4 linked regions of the Drosophila melanogaster genome follow. The protein of the gene in region 3 interacts with the protein of the main gene of each other region in a pairwise test. Each region holds a gene or a part of one and is shown on either strand. Other genes may lie near its edges. The genes, in order: sug, yin, CG7236 and CG6923.

Region 1 (3,829 bases), on a different chromosome or scaffold from region 3:
TTGGTTCTTCTCTGTAGTATGTTGCCAGTATATATATATGCCTATATATAGTGTAAAACCTGATATCGCTTTTAAAGTGTATTCATCTATTTCAAATGTGAAATACTTTTGCTATTTATTTTGTTTGTTCTTGTTGTTTGTATAAAAACGAGAGGTTATCTAGATCAACTAACATTCCTATAAACCGCAAAAAAAAACATTAAATCTGTTATTAACAGTTGTGTGAAAAACTCGTCTAGATGCGCATTTAAACAATAAATATTTTCCAATATCTAGCGCTCTATTAGCCCAGCCATTCGAAATGGGGATTTTCCTCCAAACAAAGGTTGTCTGGATCATAAATTCTAATCGAAGTCGATTAAGATTGGTCACTAGTTTTGTGACGAATCGCCTGTAACTGGGGATTTTCCCATACCTTGAGCTTATGGTTTTTCGAAATCTTTGAAATACTCTTTTTGCCCAGAACCACTATGAAGGAACCTAGATCAGATCAATCCCGAAGATACTCCCATGCCACCATGCCAAACTAGAGCAGTTCAATTACAACAGTCTTTAATCACGTTAAATAGTAATCTAGGTGTGGTGACAAGAGCTGGGAAACAGCGCAATGACTAGAAGGGGAAGAGAGACGAGAGGCGAACCGATTGGCCAGTTCAGATTCGATGGATGCGCAGGTCGAGCGGTGACTCCACGTCCATCTTAACGAAGAAGTCCTCGCTGTGGAGATAGCTATGCTGTCTATCGCCTAGCCAATAGCTGGGCGAGAATTCCGCATCCTGTTTGGGTTTTAGCGAGTAATCGCTGGGCTCATTGTTGGAGTCATCGTAGTAGCGGGCGGATGAGGAGGAGCTGGTGGACTCCACACTGCTGGCAGCGGGAAGACACGTGAACGCTGATTCGCTGCTGGCCTCCAGGAGACAGGGTACGCTGGGCAGAGTGAGCGGCTGGCTGGCGATCAGGTGGATGCTGTGCTTGAAGGTCTTGACGTGCTTTCGCAGCGAGGACGGATCCGTGTAGCGCTTCTGGCAGCCGGCCACTTTGCACATGTACGGCTTCTCCATCGAATGGGTGCGCGTGTGCTTGAAACGATCCGAGGAGTTCGAGTACGCCTTCTGGCAGCCCTCGAAGCTGCACTTGTAGGGTTTCTCGCCCGAGTGTGACCTAATGTGGATCTTCAGGTTCTCCGCCCGCGAGAAGGACTTCTCGCACAGGTGACAGCGATGTGGCTTCTCCTTCGTGTGGGTGCGGGTATGGACAAGCATCTTGTAGCGGGCATTGAATCCTCGCTCGCTGCGCTGACATCCCCGCCAGCGGCAATAGTAGAGTCCGTCTGTCAGGCTGGCGATCGCATGTCGCTGGGTCACGTGCTGTGCCAGTGCATCCAAGGTGTCGAAAACTCTGCAAGGATCAAAGGGATATAAGTGGTTAGTACGAAAATAACATGTACTGGATTGATTTCTTATCCAATATTAATACACTTGCTGACCATAAACAATACACTGCATCTCTATCAATTTGACCCAAAATCACATTATTATCGCTATTGGAGGGTTTATCAAAAAGTCGAGTCCAACAGTTCAGCAAATGCCAGGCTGCCTCCGGGGTTTTTTTTTTATTTCTTTCGAATGCGTAATCAGTTTCAATGGTAAAACGCGGGGGAACTGTGTTTTATATTTTTCTAGAACTACTCAATGTCTTTCTCTGGCAACTCAAAATTCAAAAGAAAATATAATGCTGAGTTTTTTTTTCGTTTTTAAAAAACATTACGAAAGTGCTGAGACCCCTTTAGGAAATTTCTTTGAAATTTTCACAATAATTCTGTAATGCAGTTGACACTTACCTATCGCAATCTGTCCAGTTGCATACGAAATCGCTGGCGGTGCCGCACTCGCTGCTGCTGCTGCAGGACTTGCTGTCGTCGGGGAACTCCACTGGACTGCGGCAGAGCTCGTCCTGCTGGCCACGAGCCTTCATGATCACGGACTGGGTGCGCTGACGATATCCGTATCCGGCGATGGGACGCGGCGGTGTGATGGGCGGCGTGGGAAACCTGATGTGCTGCATCTGCTGCTGGTGCTGCTGGTGCTGCTGCTGGTGGTGTTGGTGGTGATCCGCCAACCAGCTGCCGGAATCCGAGTAGGCGGCTATGTACGGTGGTGTGTTATACGGCGTAAAGTAGCCGAGAGGCGGCTCGTAGATGCCTCTGCTGTGTGGGCCGCTGTTGAAGATTGACTTTTGTATTATATCCATGTTTGTTGTCTGTGGTGGGTGCTGATCGAGAAAATTTGTTGCTTTCGCTAAAGCGCCTGCCGATCGAATGAGCCGCTCGCCTGCAGAGGTTCGGGTAATATGCGAAACTTGGACGGCGATAAGGGGTCGCCCAGACGGACAGGGTATGCTTATCAGTTTCGAAGGCTGCAGACGGGTCCGGCGGGGGCGTGGCAGGGGCAGGGGGAGCAGACGGCGGCAGACGGAACCAAAACAGTGGAGCGCCGAGGAGCAGGTGCGTAGCGGTGGAGCGGTGGAAAAAAATCCGCTGGGGCAAATGGATCTGGGGCAAAAGCACACACTACGTGAGTGAAACTCTGTGCTGGATGGACTGCGACGCAGATGGGTGACTGGGGGGCGACCAGGGTACGGTCTGGGCCCGCTTATCAACGCACAAGTGGAGAGCCAGCTAGTCAGCCAGCCAGCCAGTCCACATATGTACACAGGCACATGTGTGTGCCCGATGATCGCTCTTTGGGGGGCAAGTCTTATCGCCCGGTGCCGTCTGCCTGCCTGCCTGCCTGACTTGCACTTCGTACCGCGTAGCGAATTCCCTGCCGCACCCCACCCTGCGTACCGATCCGAGTCCCACTCCCGATCCGAATCGCACCCCTTCATTGGAACAGGTACGTCAACTCTTGGAGCCGTACTAGTGCACTCAGAGAAAAGCGAATGGACTAATACGTCTGAAGACGCATCTAGATCTTTTGCCTGAGAATGGCTAGTTCTAGAATCTACAAAGAGGCCACTATAAGATCGCCTTGCATAATTTCCATAAATAGATTTATTAATAAAACAATTAATTGTTTTCCTGACCTAACTATATATTCGAGCTTGTGACTAAAAAGTAAATAGTTATAGTTTTGAGACAAAGAATCAAAAGTTTAAGCAGACAATTTGAATCGTTATGTGATTCCTATACTCTGAAGGGAAATGGATAAAAACTTTCGTGGAAGCCACTTAATTTCAATTCTGTAATATATTTCTCAATTTCTCAATATGTTTTATTATTACAAAGTTAAAATTAGACTTTAAGCTTAATAGCTGTTTATAAAGTTAAAGCTTAGAAGCTTCCTTGAATTCCGAACTTTATAATGGATATAAAACCCCAACTGATGTGTTGCATAAGGAAATCACGCTAATTTTATTAAATTTGATTTGAGTACACTGAAAACAAAAGTGATATTTTCTAGCTTGAGCTTTGTGAAACCCCACACACATTCTCATTTATAATTTTATCACTTTATCAGAAATACTAAACTTCCCCCACATGTGTTTGATATGCAAGCGTACGATCCCAAAACCCAGAAATTCATTCTTGGGTTCGCCCGCCGGTTTCACCTCAGTGTGTGGGCGCTGCGTCTGGGACGGCGATAAGGTGGTGGTGGTTGGTTATCTCACGCCAAGTCAACAAACGCCGCCACATGCCGCCATGGTACCATATCTTTTGGCCCGAAAACTTGGTGCGCCATGACGCGAATGGTTCGGCGGGACGCGGAGTTGCGCTCTGCTGGGTGGTGGCTATGGCAATCAGCTATCAGCCAGCCATAAAGCTATCGTC
Region 2 (4,935 bases), on a different chromosome or scaffold from region 3:
GCAGCTGTATTCCTTCTAATTTGTGCGAGCAGTGTTTCCTGTTGTTTCAGAAGGCTTGTGGAATGTGCATCCCTATCGTGCACCCACAGTATTCCAGCTTGTAGCCATTGTTGTGGCAACTGTTTGTCGTTTGGCGTTCTTAAAGAGAGAATATAGTTCTAGAAACCCATATCCTATTTGCGATTTAACGTTATCTTGTGTTATCTGCGCTGAATCTTGTGGTTATCCCCTCGCTTTTCTTTAAGCTGTGCCAATGAGCTGGCAGGTACGGAATCGATCTTATCTCGATCATATTCCTATCCCCTATCTGGCGATTAAACCCCCGGCCGTGCAAAATGGTCGAGTGCCAAGTGCCTGTTATCTATGTTTGTTTTCTTTACGGCTTTGAGTAATTTGTTGGACTTTCCCAGGCAGCCATAAATCTATCCAGCTGTAAATATTTATGGTCCGCATTAGCTATTGTTTCGCGTCGAGATTGCTTAGGTTTTTCACGAAAACGCCGCGCTATACCACAAGATTGCACAGTTCCGGAAATATATAGATACATGTGCCTGAAAGGTTGTCAATTTCGCACTATATTTTAGTCCAGCACTCAGACTCACCGTTTCGAAACCGTTGCGGTCATCTTCGGCGAAGTGGATGTGCTGGAATCGATCATCCCTATCACGAAAGCGGGCAAAGTGCCAAGCTGCAGAAAGTCCATATATATGTGGGTGGTCTTTGGAAAACTGGTGATGCACTTACCGCGACTGAATTCAGAGCTGCTCATCAGGTGACTGGATTCGAAGCTCGAGCTGGATATGGATGTGGCTGTGCTAGAGAATTCGGGATTCCGCTGTCTATGAAGCATGCTTGAGCTGTAGCCTGGATATCTGACAGCTAAGGCAACGGACAATTACCCTAAGTATAACAAATTATTTATTTAGATTATAAATAATTATGGGGGATCTTTATAGTATTATAATATAATATTTAATATAATTGTAATTTTGAAATTGACATGACGTCTTTATATCTTTCATGTACAAATCTAATCAGTTGGGCAAACACTTCATCGCCTATCATCATTGATATCGGACTCCGGACCTTCGAGATCTTGAGATCTATAAGTACCCATATCTGAAGATCGGAGCCCCTTGAAGCACTGCCCTAAGAAACGAGTACGATTGGCTATCTGACTATCTGGCTATCTTAGGCAAGGACATCGTCTATATCTCGCTTTCGCTTCGCCTTTTCAGGCCGATTACTTAATCGGCACAAAGTGCGATTCGGTAAGCCGCGTGCCGAGTTGTGCGATTGGCCCACCTATTAGGTAGGTTGGTAGGTGCGATTTAATCGAAGATACCCTATCGCCGCTTGACCACCAGTTTGCTAATTGATAAGGTCTTAACTGTAATCCCCAGGCTGAGCGAAGAGTTTCTCGCCCAGATACAACGCCATCACAATCCATGGATACGGGATGCATAATAGCTGGCCGGGGATACGAGTACTCGATGTCTGAGTGTGTCAACACGCAACCCGCTCAATCGACACACAGACCCCCAATGCCTTGATGGCTTTAATTAAGTGTTACTCAATCGATCGCATAGCTGGCATTATGAAGACTAGACACCATGCAATCTGTAGCCAAGTAAGTGACAATCGTAAAATCGAAAGCAAGAAGCAAAACAAAAAGTTCACTTGTCGCACAGTCAGGGCCTCTCGTTGAGCAATAATGGTTAACAATAACAATAACAATAACAATGTCGTGCTACGGACTATCGCAGATCGGCCGATTGGCTATGGCCAATAGATGTATTATACTTGTTTCTGGGCATGGCATTAATGATAGGCGGCCATAAATACTATTCGCAGCTATCGACGCAGCGATTAAGTTCATAAAACAAAAATGCCACAAAGTTTTGTGACCACCTCCGATTAGATGCCTATCAAAAGCGGTGAGCCAAACGGGGTTAGATGGTATAGGTTACATTATGGATTTCCTATTTAAGGCGTCGCAGTAAAGTATCCTCAAATTTTCTCATTTCTTCATAAGGGGTTACATAATGAAGATCAGCGAAAATCTACAAATTTCGAAAGTTTCCGGCCTTGAATGCCTATGGATTAGAAATTTCATTACGAGTTCAACGAGATATTGTATTTCAAATAAGGCCAACTATTTCCCATGTTGTTTTTAAAGTACTGTTCTTAAGGTGGCGGAAATCTGAATTATAACTTTTGACAAAAATTCGACATTTAAAAGTGATCTTTTCGCTATAATTTGGTAGTTCGTGCCCAGTTTAGGGTGTTTTCTTTTTAATATTAAAAATAATTGTTGTATTTATTAACCTATCCACCGTTTGAATGACTTATACTTATGACTAATCTGATATGAAGTACGTACGTCTTTTGAAATGCCTGTTTATTTCGCAAAAACTTATTACCGATGTGATAACTTTATCGGCCATAAAACTACTTAATAGATTTGTAATAGTTTATTTTCCTATTACTATCATTTTAAGGAGCTTAAATTAATTTATTGTATTGCTGCCAAAATACTGCCAATCATTTCGGTCTTAAGTTATGTACATACGTATGAACTTTGTTTGCCCACGGAAAAGCGTTGAAAAAGAAAGTCATGTAGCTTGTTAATATGCAAGTCATTAGTATTAAACACTGGACGCGTTGCTCTAAAAATTGTTTGGGTACTTTCTTAAAAATTAAATGGCTGATTAGTTACTTTTCGACCAATATCAGCAAGACATTTGGCTATTTAATAATGATTAATTGCCCGATTAACACACAGTTCAAGCCATTGAAGATTCTGACTCGATCTCCTTACCCTACAAATTTCCTTGGCCATCATTATCTCTTCTATTTTGGCGTTGATTTTTTTTTATCAGCGTATAGACGTAGTAGCTCTTTAAATAATTATCTTTAGACCATATACTAAACTACTTTTCGATTCATGACTTACGGTGGGTAAAGTTGGGAAGCTCCCATCCCTCAGACGTGCAAGTAATGGCCAGAGATAACCGTTTGGTGCGATGAAAATATTTAGTTAATGATGGTGCGCAATCTGCATCGCCCACTATACACAACACAGCAACCACCCACCCACTGACTGATGACAGACGGGGCGTGGCAGGTGTGATAAGCGGAGCAATTGTGATGGACAGCGATCTGTAAATTGACAGGCGGCCAAGGGCGGGGAAGGGTGAAATGTCAAGCAGATATTCCGGTGGGTAGTTGTGGGCCATAAATAACAATCGCGAGAGCTGCGAGCTGCGGCTCCATTCATTGTGGGTAAGCGAACACCGGGCCGTAAATACTTCCACTTGCCTGTCGATACGATAACATTGCGATTAGGCTTATCACCACTACTCGCTCGTTCTAACGCCTTTCGCCATCCTTCGACGTCGAGCAAGCGCGCAGTCGCAGCGGGCAGAGCAGTGCGGCAAAGCGACAAAGCGGCGAGCGGCGAAACCGTCAACGGCTTCTTAGCTAAGTTCGTTCACAGTCGACTTCAGTCTGAGGCTGTTGATCGCCGCTTGCGGACGTGGTCGCTCAATCCTGCTCGATTCATAACCGATTCAAAACCGATCCCATCCGAAACGACGTGCGTTCCAATTTTTTTTTTTTTGCAGTTGTTAAATGTTTTAATGTGAGTTACGAGTGCGCGAATGCAATGGAACAATAAAAGCAATAACGATCCGAAAGCTTCGCCAGAGACAATAAAAGCAATATCAAAACACTGATGTCTATATTATGAAAAGATCTTACGAAACAATAAAATCCTTTTAAAGGCCAATGCAGCAAAATAGGATAAAGTTACCAGAGAAAGAGCTTCCTTTTTTTATACAGTTTGAAAATCAATTTGCAACACAGAAAATCAATTAAAACTATTAATAATCTGAATGAGATATATTTGCGATATTGTTGGTTTAATTAATTATTTCGCAGTGGCAATTGGAAATTTCCCTTAAATATAGCCAATTTGTGGGCTTATTGAACTCCAGACGAGGATCAGTACTTTTTTGCTTTTATTGTCTCTTTTGTCTCTTATTGGAAAAAAATAAACAAAATTTACACGTAATATACATATATGTGCATATATTTTTCGTTAAATTAAAAGAAAGTTGAGTTTATGCATCTTATACATATGCACATTCCTACAACGTAATGATTTTTAAAGTAAATTTAATATTTTTCTTCGATTTCAAGTGACGCGTAACGGATGTGAAGCGATCTCCGGGTTCCCAACATGACGGATAAAAAAAATGGTATTGTTAATTACTAAAAATAACCACAGATGCATAATTATAGTTTTTACAGAGGGGTGGCGATTATACAGACTACTGAACCGAGATTTATGGCCCATATTTTTGTGAGGCTCGAGTTTTACTCATTGTTTCGATTTCTAGACATGCTATATAAGCCACACAAAATACACCTCACCATAGATTGCAATAGTGTTCTTATTTAGTTTATTGCACCTATTTACTTCGATACTCCTCACCCTTCAGTTTTAATCAGTGGCCGTTGGGTAACGTGCAAGTTATAAGAATTGGCGGAATACATCTCCACTTGCCAGTTATGACTCAACGGACGAACGATTTTCAGAACTCCAGGTTCGCAACTACGATAATCGGTTCTCTTGGCCGCGTGTGCAGTTTGCAAATCTAATCGCTCTGATAAGGGACTTTGAGTGACTGGCCCCGGGTTTTAGCCACTTGAGCGGCTCCAACACAAGCAACGAGCAGGTCCAAATGTGGATTTACTTTCGACGGTCCCCAAAAAAGAGCTGCCAAACTTGGTCAATTGGCACGGACCAACCTTGCCTATATACTTGCCTATTCAAATCTCAAAAAATAAATAACTCGACTTGCCTACACCGATGCAAATTTTCCAATTTGTACAACTGTGTGCGCCTGCATTTCAATGTCAGACGCCGGC
Region 3 (7,816 bases):
ATACACGAAAGCCGATACGTGTCGCTGATTATCTGCCGTGTGCTTAGCACTGGATTAAGCTGCCAAAAAACGTGGTATGGACGCCAGGAGGCGATATCTGTCGACGATGAAATACTTCAGGAGCGGAGCCTCAAAAGAGGGTATCAAGCAGTTCATGTATATATATCAAAGGACTGCAAAACAGACCTTATTGAATCAAATATAAAGTAAACGAACTTATAACATTATATAATTATAAATGTTCTATTAAAAGGGCTCCGCTGTTCCCAATCCGCTCCTGGTTAAATAGATGTAAAAATGTGTAATCCAGACCAGGCTCAACAAGTAGGTGAGAGTTGGAGGTGGAATGTAACCGTTTGACTAGTCGACATGCTGCAAGGATTTTTAATTCGATGTACGTGTGTGTGCAAGGCTGAAAAGGATTCGAGCCAGGACGCAACTGGAAAGTGAATTAAAGATTAACCTGGAGTGATTTGCGAATCTCATGGACTAACGGAATTGAAAATTTATGGAATAAAACATTATGTAGCACATTTTATTTGATGACAGCTGAAAATTGCACTTTAGACTTAGTTACTAATTCAGTTCGGCCCGAAGGGATGAGTTGCCAAGTGTTTACGAACGTTCCACCCAGTGATATATTAATGGATTACTTTTACACATTTATTCCCAGCAGTAAATAAGTTAAATTTCGGGCTCAATTCTCGCTCAAGGACATTACTTCGTTACAAATTCTCTGCTCAAACTCAAATTGTGGGCAGATGATGCTCGGTGCGATGTAGCAGGTTTGCATTCTTGTTCAGGGGCTGCAGCTTCACGTAATCTTGATGCGGGTGATGATGATGCTGCGTGCTAGGCAGCAGCGGTAGTGATGTGTTTGAAGTCTGTAATCGAAAGGATATACTAATAGATTGAATTATCCTCTGAGAGGACTGCCGTACGCACCTTTGATTTATCCCGGGCCGCCGCGATGGCCGCCGCCTGAGCAGGACCCGTCTGGAGCTGCTGGGCCGCCGTGGCCAGCATGAACTGCTGGGAGGCGAGCTGCTGCTGGCGGAGATTGGCCGCCTCCAGGCTGTTGACGTGCTCCAGTTCGCGCTGCTTAGCGATGTAGTCATCGAAGTAGGAGTGCTTTGTGAGCTTCTCGCAGGACCAGCGCTTGGTCGGATCCTTGTCCAGGCACTTCTTGAGAAAGTCAATGGTCAGGGGATTCTGCTGCGACTTGGCCGGCATCTTGTCCTCCAGCGGCTCCAGCGTCGGCGGCACTGGCAGCGTGATGCCCTTAAAGTACTCGTTCTGTCCAAAGATCTGGATGTGGCGCGGCAGCAGGTCGCCGAGCGTCTTGCGGATCAGATAGAGCTGATCCACATCGCTACGTCCTGGCCAGAGGGCCTCGCCCCGGACCAGCTCGGCGAAGAGGCAACCGATGGCCCAGACGTCCACCGGAGTGCCGTACTGAGTGTCGCCCACCAGCAGCTCCGGCGCCCGGTACCATCTGGTGGCCACGTAGTCCGTGTAATTCTCGCCCGGACTGAGCATCCGGGCGAAGCCGAAGTCACACAGCTTCACCTGACCCTGGGCCGTCAGCAGAATGTTCTCCGGCTTGATGTCGCGGTGTAGGCAGCCCTGCTTGTGGCAGTAGGCCACGCCCAGCAGGGTCTGGTAGCAGATCTGTTTGGTCAGGTGCTCCGGGCAGCCCTGTGGATGCCGCTCCAGTTCGTGCAGCACGGTCAGCTCGCAGAACTCGAAGACCAGATGGAGGCGTCGCTTCCGTCGGAACACTTCTAGCAGGGAGACAAGGTTCGGATGCTTCAGGTTCTGCAGGAAATTTCGAGTGATTAAGTGATTCAAGTGATTTAAGTTATTAAGGCTTACCTTCAGTAGCCTAATTTCTCGCAGTGCAATTTTACGAATCGCTGGATCATCCTCGGACTCCACAAACCTCTTGACCGCCACCAGAGCACCCGTTTCCCGATCCCGGCACTTGTAGACCACACCGTAGGAGCCCTCGCCCAGCCGACTGAGCTTCTCATAGCGATCCATTTTGCTGCTACCTTGTGGTCTGCAAGGAAGTTAACAGGTATGAGTTATTCCGGAATTCCCACCCCGATTGCGGCTAACGTTCAGTTTGAGTTTGGAGTGGATTTTACCTTAAGCTCAAACATTGACCACGTTTGATGTTTGCACGTCGCATTGCTTTGCATTGGGCACACAAAATGTTCAAGAATTTTTCTGTTTGATACCTCAGACACGAACACATGTGGACTCACAGGGGCGAACTTGCATTCTAGGATATGCGAGCGAGTATGAAGTGATTTGATATTCGATCTGGTATTATTTCAAGGGCTGTCTTACGATTTGATGTGTATGCATATATGTACAAGTTATTATATTGAATAGGTTTGGTTTTTTTTTGGGGATGTCCAGAACATTTTGGAGGTTTGGTTTCACGAATTCGGTATGATTTGGTTAGTCGATTTCGATGGAATGAAACAAACAACAAATGAGAGAACTTTTAGAATGAGTTATTTGGTTTAAACGTTAATTTTGGTGGGCCAAAGGAACTGTTAAATAAAATGTAATAATAATAAATTAAAATGTGCCGAAGTACATCAATATAAACTTCTTCCTGCTAACTTTTTCCAATCTAAATGCAGCTATTATAGCTAATCAAATAAATCGATATTGTAAACATTCAATTGCCATTAGATACACAACCTAATCATTACTACTCTGCCATTTATAAGCACGAGAACTAAATCGATTTTTTTGACCCAAGTAAACATAACCCTATGTGGAATTGTCATTGATTTGAGTGTATGGACTAATGAATTCTAACATTTTTACACAGTTTAAGTGAAAATAAGATTAAAATAACTTATTCTGTTCATTCAGAATTGTACCATTAGTATTAGATTAGAAACCGAGGGTAATTAACTTTCTAGCGTGAACACGAAAACTAAATCGATTTTGTAGCCCCAGGTGTTCGAGAGCGTGCTCCTTTGAAATTGGCATTACCGGTCTGGTCGAGGACTTCACGGGTTGACAGTTCAATGCCAGCCACAAAACCTTAAACGGGGTAACTGAACCCTGCTTGGGCCTTTCTGCATCTTTTGCTAACATGTGTGTGGGTCATAAACATGGCATGCAATTAAATATTTGTGTGCTTATGATGGTGGTGCTGGTTGGTGGCACAAATAAATGAAAGCAACACAGGACACCGAAAACGTAGCAAGCAGATGACTTACCTAGGCACCCATCTGGCTAATATCTGACGTATTTGCCACTAGAGTTAGTAATTGAATTGTGAATGAATAGGACATATATATATATATATATATGTATTTGATTAAAGTCTTTTGGGGGAAGTCTACGATACACACCATGCGCCGAATATTCCGCCAAGCCTGTCGATCAATAAATATTTGAATGGGTAGACCGCTTGAGCGGACGTATGTTTTGTCTGACAACTGAGCACCGAATGGGGGAAACGCTAGAGCCGACCTGTGCCCCATGTCGACCAGGTCGACTCCACCCCACTGGCCAATGTCATAGCAATGCGACCAAAGTTAACAAAGCAAAAAACCACAACAAAACCAAATCCATGCGCAGTTGCCCCCAAAGTTGTTCAAGAAGTTTCTCCCCTTTGTTGTTTTTTCTAGCGACTACCGGAAGACATTCAAGGTGTGCTTCTTTCCCAGCTTTCCCAGCTCCTTTCCCACTACACATTTTGAGGTTACCTGCTGGAGTCGTCTGTCTAAGGAGAAGGCAGGGGAGTCGCTTATGAACCGGGTTCTTTGACACAGATTGCTGGAGGATTCCATATAGCTAAACTGGTGCAGCAGTGCAATAAGTTTGTCGTAACTACGCGCTACGTGGGCGCTTCGGGGGTGGATTCTATTTGGGGTCCTTATTACTAATTAATGTTTGAATCGCTGTGCAATTATAACAGTATTAGGGATGGCTTTTCCTGGCTGAATAACTTAAGTATTGCTGTGCAGCTAATTTGCTTGCCAGGGGTCACTTATTGTGTTTGCTTTTCGAAGCTGTCCAAACTTTAAAACTTTCACAGTTCACAGGCAAATAAGATAAGTTATGATGTTAATAATAAATGTTAATTTTTTTTTTTAATTTTGTTTATTTTTTTTTTTTTGCTCATACCTTCGTAGGGAAAACAATTTAGAAATCTCAAACATTTTCATTGCAGTATCGAATTTTTTCCAGTTCACCTTTTGTCTATATTTGGTTTGTTTCCGTGTTTCCTTCACTTGGGCCAAACAAAGAGCCCTATAACTTTTTGGCAGAACTACACGATGTGAAGACGTTAAGAGCCGGCAATCGACTGAGGTGCTTTTGGCTAGAAACGAGTTTGGAGAGCGACGGAGTTGGTAGCAGCTCGGTTGCATCAGCGGACATCGCACATACGCCGCGTTGGCCAATGGCGACTTTGATTCCTATGTTTTTGTTTGTTTTGGTCTTGCGTGTTTCATTAATAATGCATTTAAGTGCAGTGGAAAAACACGAAGGTGAGCGTCGAACATAAATTAGGAACCATAATCACGCATACTGTATAAGCAATATGTAAGGTATATGTATATAAAACGAATTCTTTGACCGGTGTGGTGTATTAGGTAACTAATTTCCTTGAAATTTACCTTTAAGAAGTGTATGAAAGTATAGTGACAGCACCCCACTGATTTCTGATTTGCATAATTACTGAGAACTCCCGTCGACCCCGTTCCAACTTAAACACCATCTGCTTGCCTTATACATTTGACAGCTTTTGTTTTCCGCGAAAGCACTTTAACCTTTCCCACTTTGATTTTACCTTTATTCTAGGCTCTTGTGGCTTTTAATTATATTTTTGTATTTATTGTTCTATGTAGTTGTTTGCGCATAGCAATTATTTGTTCATGTCGTTGTCATGATGTTTGCACTCAATGTTGGGGTCAATGCTTCCCAGCTTAATGGCTCTTCGTTTATTTACCATTCTGATACTGACCCCCGGTATTTGTGTGATATAGCAGCGCTAAAGTTTATTTAGTAATGGGTATTATATAAGAATGAGAGGAGAATTAAAGCACTTCTATTTAAGAAAAAGGAACATTTAGCTGGCCTTTAAAATAGATACTTAAAATTGAAATTTACTTATACGAGTTTAGCTTACTGAAGTCAGACTGAATGGTCTTTATTTTTAGAGAAACCACACATTTTTAGATGTTTAATATTCGTACTGCCTTGTGGGTTTATTTCAAGTGTCTGTACTTGCTAAAATAGCAATAATATGTCAAGTAAGTAAAGTTTTTTAGCAAAACCTCTAACATCGCCTTGTAAAGTCCCTGAACCTTTTGGCCATATAAATATTGCGGGTTGTTGGTAAGGGTTGTGTTGACGTGGCCTTTGGGAAAACAAGCGTAAAATGCAATAAATAACAAGCCATTAATGCCAAATGCTCACACACGCACCGAGTGTCCCAAACTTTGTGCGAGGTCTGTGCAAAAAGCGTTGCCTACTTACGGGGATAGCAGAGCTGAAGCGCTTGGAGGACGAAGCAGGCATATGCGTGTGAAATGAAAGGCCAAGGCCGTTGCAACACCACCTCCACCAGCAGCGACTCAAATGTCATTGGGAAAAGTTTATCCTTTCTGCCCGTTTTAGCACTGCATTTCACTTTCATTCCGCAAAAAGTTGGTAAAGCTAATTAGGGCCACGAACGGCGCTAATCGACCCACCTGTACTGCCTGGTCTCAACTAAGTCCGGCTCATTGCACACCTGGATCTTCTGAATGAGGCGGTAGAGGAAGGAGTTCTGTAACGATTGCGGCAAGTAGAACGATGAGCTGTGAAACATTGCACGTCGCCAGGCGTTCGTACGGCTGCAGGGTCTCAGGATAACTAAGTTGCACTTCGACGGTCTCTCGTCTATTTATTTTATCGATACATGATTTCAAATGCAACGGACATCATGAATACTTTATGCATGGAGCGACATTCCTTCTCAAACAGGTGCAAAAAACCGGCTCTGTTTCTGACGTGTCTCGTGCCGGCAATGCTTTTCCATATTGTTTAAGATTTTTTTGGGTCAGAAAAAATGCGGCCGGGGGAAGCCAAAGGAACATGCAAATGAGTCAGGCGCATAATGCGAGAAGTGAGAGTTGCGACGGCAGGCGAATGAGGCAGAGTTTGCCACATGCCACAGCGAGGCACACGAAATCAGTGGTGCAAGCTGGAGGGAAAAAAACGGCTTGCGGGGATTCAATTATGTAAGGTGAGGCGGGCACCTGTGAGTTTTGGCATCCACTGTGGGAATGAGAGCGACTGTCAAATGCCATGAAAGCGCCAAACAAATGTAAGTATCCTGCTGGCAAACCGAAAACGCGATTCTAATTCGCGGCTGTTGAAAAGTCCATTCACCAAAAGTGCTGATATAAGCAAAGCAGTCCCATTATAACATTTTTTGAGCACAATGAACGTTTAGATCTTGGGATCATGGCAATTCAATGTGAATAAACTTGATTAAAGTTTAAAAAACCCTTACTAATTTCACATAAATAAACTTAGGAAATGTATGAAACACATCAAATTGTTATTGCTACCAGAACAGCATGAATTGCGCTCCTTGGGTCCTGGGTCATGATCATGAACTTGTCTTGTATTATATAACTATCCATCTCCTGAAACAACTTATCAATAATTACCAAAGAAAAGTATGTGACTTGTAAAAACCTTCTCATGAACAAGTGTGCGAGTACAAGTGTTATGTATCAATCATTTGCTTACAGTCTGATGGGCAATATCTTATTCTATTTCAGTCAGATATGTATTCCAGCAAAAAAACATTTCCCTCTGTTCCTTTCGAGCAAAACGCAAGTGTCGTTGACATTTGCCGAAAATAGGGTTTTCGTCTGCTTGGATCAAAAGCATTAAAAACCGCTACATCATCCGTTCCCATAAGTATGCAATATTCCTTCAGAGCTGCTTGTCTGGCCTGTCAGAATTCGGATGGTAAGTGGGTTGATGTTGGAGACAAATCCAAGCTCCGAACGCATTTCAATGCAATTTGATGTCTCTGTACTTGATTTCATCTCTTTTCGCTTTTGTTCTTCTGCATCTTTTTTTCCGTGCACATATACTCGCATTGATTGAAATTCAATTTGATTGGAGTTTTTGTCCTTTTTGGTCCTGTGGCTTCTTGGTTAGATCTTGTGTAAGTTGAGTAGCTTTTAACTGTCAGTTTCAAAGGCGTTCAAAGAAGGTATCTAAATGTTAGTTAGAGACACACAATGTTTTCATACGATGATTACTATTTACTGTAGGGTTGGTTATTCACAAGGCCCGACGTTAAGCAAAACAATATCAGGGGCAACACTCTATCTGCGCGCCAATCTTGAAGTTCAAGTTTAGGCCAAAACAATGAAAAAATGTTTGGATAGCACTTTTTGTTACCATTCAATGCAATGCAATGCCAAGTTCGACTTACCTTCTGGGCAAAAGTGGAAGGTGGTTACCAAACAGCCAGAGACGTTTCTCTCCGAACCATTTGTCCATAGACAAGCATTTAATAACTGTTTGGAAAATTGATTTTAAAATGCCGTACTATTTCTGGAATCTCGAAAGTGATTTCCGCATCCTGCGAGCATTTAACTAAATGGATTTTCACGCGCGAGATGCGAGGCGAGTTTCGCGTCCGTTGGCGAAGAAATATTAACAAACTTTGTTTATAAGCGTAGTCCACGCCGTAAACGTAGCCGGAATTTTTATGTGCGCCGGCATTGAAAACGCCGAAGACAATGGAATGGAGTTTCCAGGGGGTGGG
Region 4 (7,686 bases), on a different chromosome or scaffold from region 3:
CTGATTTAAAATAAAATATGTAAACCCCAAACAGAAATAAAGGTGTATCGTATTTTTATCGGTGGAATAAAAATCAACAGACGTTTATTGGATTATTTATTGATTTCTGCCGTCTTAGACAGCCAATTTTTAAAAGTTTTAGGAAACTTTCTATAATATAAAACCAACCTTTTTAAAATATGTTAGCTCAAGATTTAAAAAATTGCATCGAATCAATTCACTTATATATGGCACGTTATGAGATATTGAGCAATAATCCGTAATCTATTAAATTAAATAGATGTACTATATATAATTTGGTAATAGCAAAGACACTAGAATAGAATAGAATTATTCTAGGGTCTTTGGTAATAGAATAAAAGATTATTCTCTACATTTTTGTGACTAATCAAAACATAACAAAATTTGTTAAATAATGAGAGGAAATCGTCCAGATTTTAAGTCCTTCAAATAATTACTCAAGAAAAATGCAAATTGCCAAATCGATTTCTAATCGGTTAAGTTTAGGGTCCGATGTTATATTATTTTGTGTGATCATTAAAAATATAACAACAAGCTGGGGTCAAAGTTATCATATACGCCCGTCGTGGGAATTCTATACTATAACAATATACGCATATTTATGAAATTCTTATCACAAGAATTTTGTTTCACAAAACGTAGACAATTTGTACATATGTATAGGAAATTATTTGCCGAATCACTTAATATACTTAGACATAGAAATTGAGCCAAACAAATTTAGCTTTTTGATATCTTTCAGCGCAACACGGCAGCAAGCTGTGGCAACTGCCTTTTACATACGTTGCGGTGGGTTAAACATTTTAAGGTATGTATATAGGGGTTTTTACGAATATTTCATTCTTTGTTCTTGTATCGATGCATGCCGAGAACAAACTCAGTCTGAGGGATTTACATAAAGATGCCGTGCACACAATGTCATAATGCGGCGGAATTGGCGGCATCTGGGACTCCGCTGGAGCTGGGGGGAAGAGCGTCGTTGGGCATGTGTGTTTCGATGTCGACGCGACAAATGGGGCAGTGCTTGTTGGTGACTAGCCACTGATCCACGCAATCCGTGTGAAATAGATGCATGCACGGCAGGCGGCTGCAATTGTTATTTAATATAATTAGAGAACTTTATAAGGTAACGTCCACATTGAACTTACCGAACTTCGTTCTCTATCTCAAAGAGGTTTAAGCAAATGGCGCACTTCTCGGCATCCTCATCGGTCTCACTGGGTCTTCGGACGCGTCGATATTTGTGAGGCAAGGTATTCCGCTCAATAGTTTCCTGAAATAAACGTAAAAACTAATTAATATAAATAGGTATGACTTTGATTTCTATACGGCCTTACCAAAGTAGCTCCCCGGTTTGGACGTGATGGTGCGATAAGGATACGGGAGCCCAGAGATAGGGGGGCCAGCCCAATCTCCAGATGCAGTGGTGAGTAGTGGTGATGGAACATGTGGTGGTGTATGGCCCGCTGGCGCTGCATATGCTGCATTACTGGTGGCGATTGCTGAGCCTGCGGCTGCTGTTGGGGCTGAAGCTGCAGATGTCGCATACTCGCTTGTGCTGCCACGCTACTATTGCCAGAACCGGATGTAGCAGGCGACTGTTGTTGAGGAGATGGTGGAGGAGCAGCAGCTGCCGGTGCAGCGTCGTACGGCGGATAGTAAGCGGGATCCAGGCTTGATACGGGACCGTTCCGAGCATGAACACAACTGCAGATGCTATGCAGGTACCCGTTTCGCAGCGTGCTCGTTAATAGCGGAGCATTCGAAGAAAGATCGATAGGTGTGGGCGTCATGTGGCGACGGTGCATCTCCTGCATGCTTTGCTGGCGGTACCACAGATTTTGATGGACCGGATACGGTGGAGCCGGCGTCAGCGAGGTGGCCACTATGGCGCTGGCCCGGTGAGGGGGATGAATGTGGGCGTGCATCTGGTTCTGCGGTGCCTGGTGACCTTGATGCGGCTGCGGCTGATAGTGCTGTCTATTGCTATACGCAGCTTCGGAGCGTCGAACACTGAACGGCGGAGATCCGCAGTGCGGAATGGTGCTCCGTCCGGAATACATTTCAAGCGGCGGTGGTGGAGAAACAGCTGCCGCCAGGTTTGCATTTGATGCCACTCCTGGCGCTGGCGGATTAATGGATTGCCGCTGCTGGTGTTGCGCATGCACCATTGTATGTGGAGGTGTCCGGTTGCCTTCCAGGGCCGCAGCACGTCCCTCATTATGGGCCTGTGATAGCAAATCACTAAAAGTTTGTGCCTGTACCGCCGCCGCTGTGGCTGCCACTGCAGCCGCATTCAAAGCTCCACTCAAAGAACTGCGACTGCTTCCGCCTTGACTGGGCTGAAAATGAGGATGAGGGTGAGGGTGAGGCTGGAGACTCGGCGGGTAGTCCGACTCCACCACAGTTGGCAGCGTTGTTATCGCATAATAGTACGGATGGTAACGATGATACACGTTCGCCGGGCTACTTCGCCTGTGGCGGGATTGCTGCGTTGATGTCTGCTCGCTGGACGAGCTGCTTGGAGTGGATGTAAGATTTCTTTGCTGATGACGTAAGTATGCCTCAGTGGAAGAGTTGTCAGGCAGCAAAATTGGGGGCATCGGGGGCGGAGGTGGCGGGGGAGCGGGATGGCCTGGCATCCACATCGAGGATTCGTTTATCGGAAGGAAGTAGCGCTGTGGATCCATGTTGGAGCAGCGGGGCGGGTAAAAATTACCGGGGCCGGGATCCATCAGCTGGTCTAGCTCGTAGCTGTAATTGTGGTCCGAAATGGCAGCCCGATCAGCTAGAGCGCCACTATAAAATGCGAATGCAGAGGTGCCCTCATTATTCGCTTCTGTACGACGATCTGTCCTGCGAGCATAGGGGAATGTGTAAGCACAGTCATACATGGTCCTCCTATCCTCATTTGGATCCTCCGGGTTGGGTTGAGTGTCATTACGATATGGTTCCCGATCCCTTGCTCGCTCCCGTTCTCTTTCACGGCCCCTATCCCTATCCCTCTGCAGTTGCGTATCATTGGCCAAGCCATCGTCGTCGGATGTCAAATCGATTGAGAGTATGGGCTCACGAGTGGAGTGCACAAATACTACGTCATCATCATCATCGTCCGATGACCAATCATCCAGCTGCAAGTCTGGTGCCGTCAAGACTACGGAATCGGCGCGGGTCTCATGGCTGCCACGTCTTCCCGTGGATGTGGACGGAAGATTGAGATCCGCGGCGGGCTGACTATCTCTTGGCCGGCCGACGTACGTAATCACACAGGGCCCGTTCGAATTCGGCGTCGAGGATGGTGGAAACCGCACATGATGTTGCCCAGAACTGTTCCCTTGCTCCGCAAAGGTTCGGTGTCCTCTCCTTCCAGGATAGAACGAATTAAAATTCGTTGAGGACAGTTTGGAACGCGATCTTCCGGGCAGTTCCATGCGCGCATGTTTCCTAGGCGGCACTGAGTCGTCAGAGGGCCGCGCACGACTCCATGACATTCTAGACTCGCCGGGAACACCGTACATACTGTGCATGGGTTGGCCTGGTGACTGCTGATGACGCCGTTCTTCGTGAATAATCTCCTCCTGTTGTTGGCGCTGTTGCTGCTCCTGTTCTTGATCCGAGCTTGTGGACGGTGATCCTGTTGCAGCCGACCTTCGACCAATGCGAGATCCATAATCCACGCTACGTGTAGTATGGGTGGCCGTGGAGCAGGAGGCTGACCTAATGTAGGTACTATCCGGTGGAGCTCCCGCCACAGCGCACCGACTATTATAGTAGTTGTGATCCGTATGACCTATCTCGGCCTCGTCGGACCCCCTGCTACCACGGATAATCGTTACTGTGGGCTCAATTGGTGGAACGGGATTATGCACACGCAAATCCCAGCCATCATCGCTGCTCTCGTTTTCCGGCTCCAAAACCCTTGATTTGCGATAAGAAAATTGACTCATCTGTCGCTTTCTCGATTGGGCACTCGTGCTTGGCGTGGCATCCGTATCTACTGCTCTGGAAGAGGTGTTGGAGGCATTATTGGAGCGGCTGGCCTTCTTCTTGTGAGCCTGAACGGCAGACGTAGTCGTCGTGGTGTTGGTGGTACGCGTATGAGCAAACTGGCCGTGCTCCGTGTCCGAGGCACTCGATGTCACATCATCGTAAGCATTTACGGCACTTGGGGCGGTTTCGAAGGAGCTGTTGCTGAGCTGCAGCGAACTAGAGGGGACCTCGTAAACGACCGCCGTAGAGTCCATAGCATGCTCTTCTATAGCACCGGCAGGCCATGTGCCGCTGACGGACGCAACCACCGCGTCGCCGTCATTGTCACTCTCTGGCTCCATTGTCAGGGGTTCAGTCTTCTTTCGCTTGGGTCGTGGAATGGAATGAACAGCGGGCGGATTGGCGATCGCCGCTGTGGAGGATGAGGGCTGCTCCAAGAACTGAGCCTCCGAATGCGACTGGTTCTGTGTGGAGTCCGCATAGCGACTGCTACTGGCCACCATCGATTCGCAGCGGCAGAGTCCGTCCAGCGAACTGCACTTGTCACACCGCCTGGCCAAGCCCTCAAATCCAGAACTCTCTTCGCGACGTGGCTCCACCATGGCGGTGTACGTGGGCGGCGAACGGGTGTGGCTGTGGCTCTGCGAACTGGACAGGAAGGGCGTCATTAGCATGTAGCCCTCCGAATCCCTCTGCTGATTATAGTACATCGCATACTGGGAATCTGCAAAAGCACAAGAGGATTAGCACTATCTGGTTCCAGATGATGGCCAGCTTACGGTTTTCCTGTCCACCCGAACTGGTGGCCACACTGCCGTACGCCAAGGTGACCCTCGGCTGGTGGTGCAGCTCCTCCTGGTCGTTCTCCAAGCTATCCATTTCAGTCGTCTAGTGGGCAACGTTACCAGAACGGCAAAGGTGCGTTGCAGCGCATGCAGGCCAAAATGCGCTAAAATTGTGTATATGTACGAAAAAATGTTTAATTTACGGGTATGAGGAGGTACAACTGTCTAACAGAGACCAGTTTGCTTTTTTTGTCCGGAAACAGAAACAAAAACAAGCAGTGGGTTAAGTATTTGGGTTCCAAAGCTATTGCCAGCTATGTACTCTAGGTACTCCAAATGGAAATTCGGGGCTATTATTTGCACAGTTCTCGAGCGAGTAAAAACGATTTAAAGCTCAAAATAAAGTTTGAAGACGGAAATTTTTTCTTTGCTTGTCAAATACACACTCTTTTGTCAGCACCACTTTTCCGTCAAGTTTTTCATCGCCGTTAGCAGGAAATTCCAAAGCTACGTGGGGAAAACACAAGCGCCGCAGTGAAAAGTGAAAACTTTTTATCGGATTCCATGCACTGGGATGATGGGGGTTTCCACGGAAGCTCTAAATAACTTATGACAACTTATTACTAATTAAGTTCAGCAGTTCTTTATTTTAGCCAACGCAATAGGGATGAGCGTTGTATCGATATGTCAGCATATCGATATGTCTAAGCTGATATTAAGCTGATGCGTTTATTTTGTATTAACTTAAATTAAAATTTACGAATAACATTCAGCTTTAAGTATATTGAATGTTTCGATACTATTGACTTCAATTTGGGGAAAACGCCAAATCAGCTGTTCGGCTGTGGGCAAACTATGAACAGCTGTTCAATGATAACAAATGTCCCCAAAATAATTCTTACCTCTATTATATGTGTAACACAGAAATATTGCGATTTTGGTAATTTTCTTAATTCCTAAAGCCGGGATTACGCGAATAACCGGGTGGGGATTTCCGATTGGGCAAAACAAAGAGAGTGGGTGGTGGGGGTTGGCAGGCCAACAGCTGCTATTGGGGAACACAAGGGAGTTTAAATGCAATTCTTTTCGCGGGGGCGGGGGACTATTCTCATTCGCAGCTGCTGTCCGGAACAAATTTACATTATGCACATGCAAATTTGCGATATATATGTTCTCACGATTTAATCATTTTGTATGTGTTACTGGATTTTATAGCAGTAACAACACCGAACTGAAATATTTAGACAACTTTTTCTTCGACGGTGCAAAAACTTGCAGTTCGGCGATGATGGCGATACTATCGCATAGAAGCTAGCTAGCTCTTTCGTAGACTAAAGTTGCGCAGTATGGCCACACTGATAATTCAAATATTTTGGCACTAAATATACCGTTAGAAACTATACTACCACTACTTACCACTGTTTAGGGAAGCTTAATATATACATACAAAGAAACTCTTAGTTGGAAAGTTGCGAATCATAATTATCTGGTTTTTAATGTTAATCTTAATTAAACTGTATTACATTTTCTAGTTTTGCTATCACAAACATAGTTTCCTTCATTTTCTTTTCATGTAAACATGGGAATAAGCCCACAATGCTGGCCAATCAAGAATAAGACATTCGTGTTTTTGTGCCGGGGCATACACGAAAGAAGGTCAAAGAAAAAGACACTTTCAACGTATTATACTCTTCCCCATTACCACAATCAGGACGAAAACCACAAGTACGCCTTTTTCCATGTGGAAAACGATTCTCGAGTTTTCTTCATTACAATTGGGAGAAGCCGGCTAAACAATCTCGATTGGTTTCTAGTGGATAAATGGGGCAAATTCATTCGAAATGGGACATCAGTCTACGATTACCACACGGGCTTCGAGTGCGTGTACAAAAGGATCCATTTCTTGGAGAGACTGCTTAAAGAATGCTTGGCTAAGCAAAATTCCACGCAAAGGAACAGCACGAATCCCGAGTTGATGGTTCTACACTTCCCGGAAACGAAGGCACCAACCTACCACATGGTATCCATTGGAGACAATACGCGGTGCTTGAACTGGGTTATCTGCCTGCTGGGACTGGTTATACTTCTCTGCTGCCTGAAATAAATCCATATGCACAGCACAAGCCTTAACATATCATGTATTTAGTGTTTTTATTGAGTTTTTATATGTATAAAACAATATCTACTCTTTCTTTTATTGCTGGCTTCGTATTCTTTTCTCTTGGCTTTCGTTTCCAATTCTGTTTAGCCATAATTTTAAAACCAATTCGCTTCATACAAATATTCCTTGATTAAATCGGTCAGCTAATCAATTATCTGCAGGATTTCCCCATATTCTCGTTGGTGTTCATTTCTCGAAAGCTGCGCTGACCAGTGTAACGACTTAAGTTTAACCATTGGCTTAACGGACATTTTCTAAACCAAGGTGCTGTTTGTTTGAGTGTAGTTTTATCGGATTTTAAGCAGCGCTGCTTGTAAATTCAACTCATAGTTATTATTTGTTTTTTTTTTGTTTCGTTGCGAAACACTCCTCACAGTTTTACAAACAAACGAAAGCGATAGTTTCCACTTCAATACTTCAGTTTCAGTGCAACTTTGATTGCTTCTGTAGGAATTCATTGCATGAATAGTATAAATTATTTGGACGCTGTTATTATTATTAGCAAATGTTCAAAACTTTAACCAAACCCAAAACGAGGCCGTTGGCAACTTTTTTTGGCAGCAGCGTTTTGAGCTAAAATTATGAACAATCATTTATGATTTCATATGTCTGCATTTAACTTTATTTTTTGTGGTCAGTTTAATTTTTCGTTTATTTTGTTTTTGTTTTTTGGAAGTTTTTCGCACAAGTTGCTGTTGGTTGGAAAAATAGAAGAATTGGTGTGTATGC

The links.
Region 1: the proteins of CG7236 (region 3) and sug interact in a two-hybrid assay, tested with the Drosophila melanogaster proteins (one large-scale study listed by BioGRID).
Region 2: the proteins of CG7236 (region 3) and yin interact in a two-hybrid assay, tested with the Drosophila melanogaster proteins (one large-scale study listed by BioGRID).
Region 4: the proteins of CG7236 (region 3) and CG6923 interact in a two-hybrid assay, tested with the Drosophila melanogaster proteins (one large-scale study listed by BioGRID).

The regions. Positions count from the first base shown.
Region 1 is NT_033778.4:12,927,353-12,931,181, reverse strand, and holds sug (sugarbabe), read right to left. Parts: upstream 2,323-3,829; 5' UTR 2,251-2,322; coding exon 1,841-2,250; intron 1,399-1,840; coding exon 654-1,398; 3' UTR 538-653; downstream 1-537. UniProt on the Drosophila melanogaster protein: Transcription factor which represses a set of lipase genes involved in fat catabolism.
Region 2 is NC_004354.4:3,868,915-3,873,849, forward strand, and holds the start of yin (yin), read right to left. Parts: upstream 3,026-4,935; 5' UTR 2,957-3,025; intron 1,631-2,956; exon of another isoform or gene 1,404-1,630; intron 1,313-1,403; exon of another isoform or gene 1,039-1,312; intron 905-1,038; exon of another isoform or gene 901-904; 5' UTR 851-900; coding exon 745-850; exon of another isoform or gene 689-744; coding exon 603-688; exon of another isoform or gene 585-602; intron 266-584; exon of another isoform or gene 59-265; intron 1-58. UniProt on the Drosophila melanogaster protein: Important role in absorption of dietary peptides. High-affinity transporter of alanylalanine. Dipeptide transport activity is proton dependent.
Region 3 is NT_033779.5:5,706,484-5,714,299, reverse strand, and holds CG7236 (uncharacterized protein), read right to left. Parts: upstream 5,910-7,816; 5' UTR 5,852-5,909; coding exon 5,733-5,851; intron 4,351-5,732; exon of another isoform or gene 4,203-4,350; coding exon of another isoform or gene 4,162-4,202; intron 2,398-4,161; exon of another isoform or gene 2,261-2,397; coding exon of another isoform or gene 2,151-2,260; intron 2,063-2,150; coding exon 1,876-2,062; intron 1,819-1,875; coding exon 946-1,818; intron 885-945; coding exon 747-884; 3' UTR 509-746; downstream 1-508.
Region 4 is NT_033777.3:11,744,000-11,751,685, forward strand, and holds CG6923 (uncharacterized protein), read right to left. Parts: upstream 6,031-7,686; 5' UTR 5,699-6,030; intron 5,490-5,698; exon of another isoform or gene 5,243-5,489; intron 5,027-5,242; exon of another isoform or gene 4,961-5,026; 5' UTR 4,891-4,960; coding exon 4,791-4,890; intron 4,736-4,790; coding exon 1,359-4,735; intron 1,295-1,358; coding exon 1,170-1,294; intron 1,109-1,169; coding exon 940-1,108; coding exon of another isoform or gene 913-939; 3' UTR 484-912; downstream 1-483. Other genes in the region: CG43062 (uncharacterized protein), read left to right, coding at 6,376-6,900.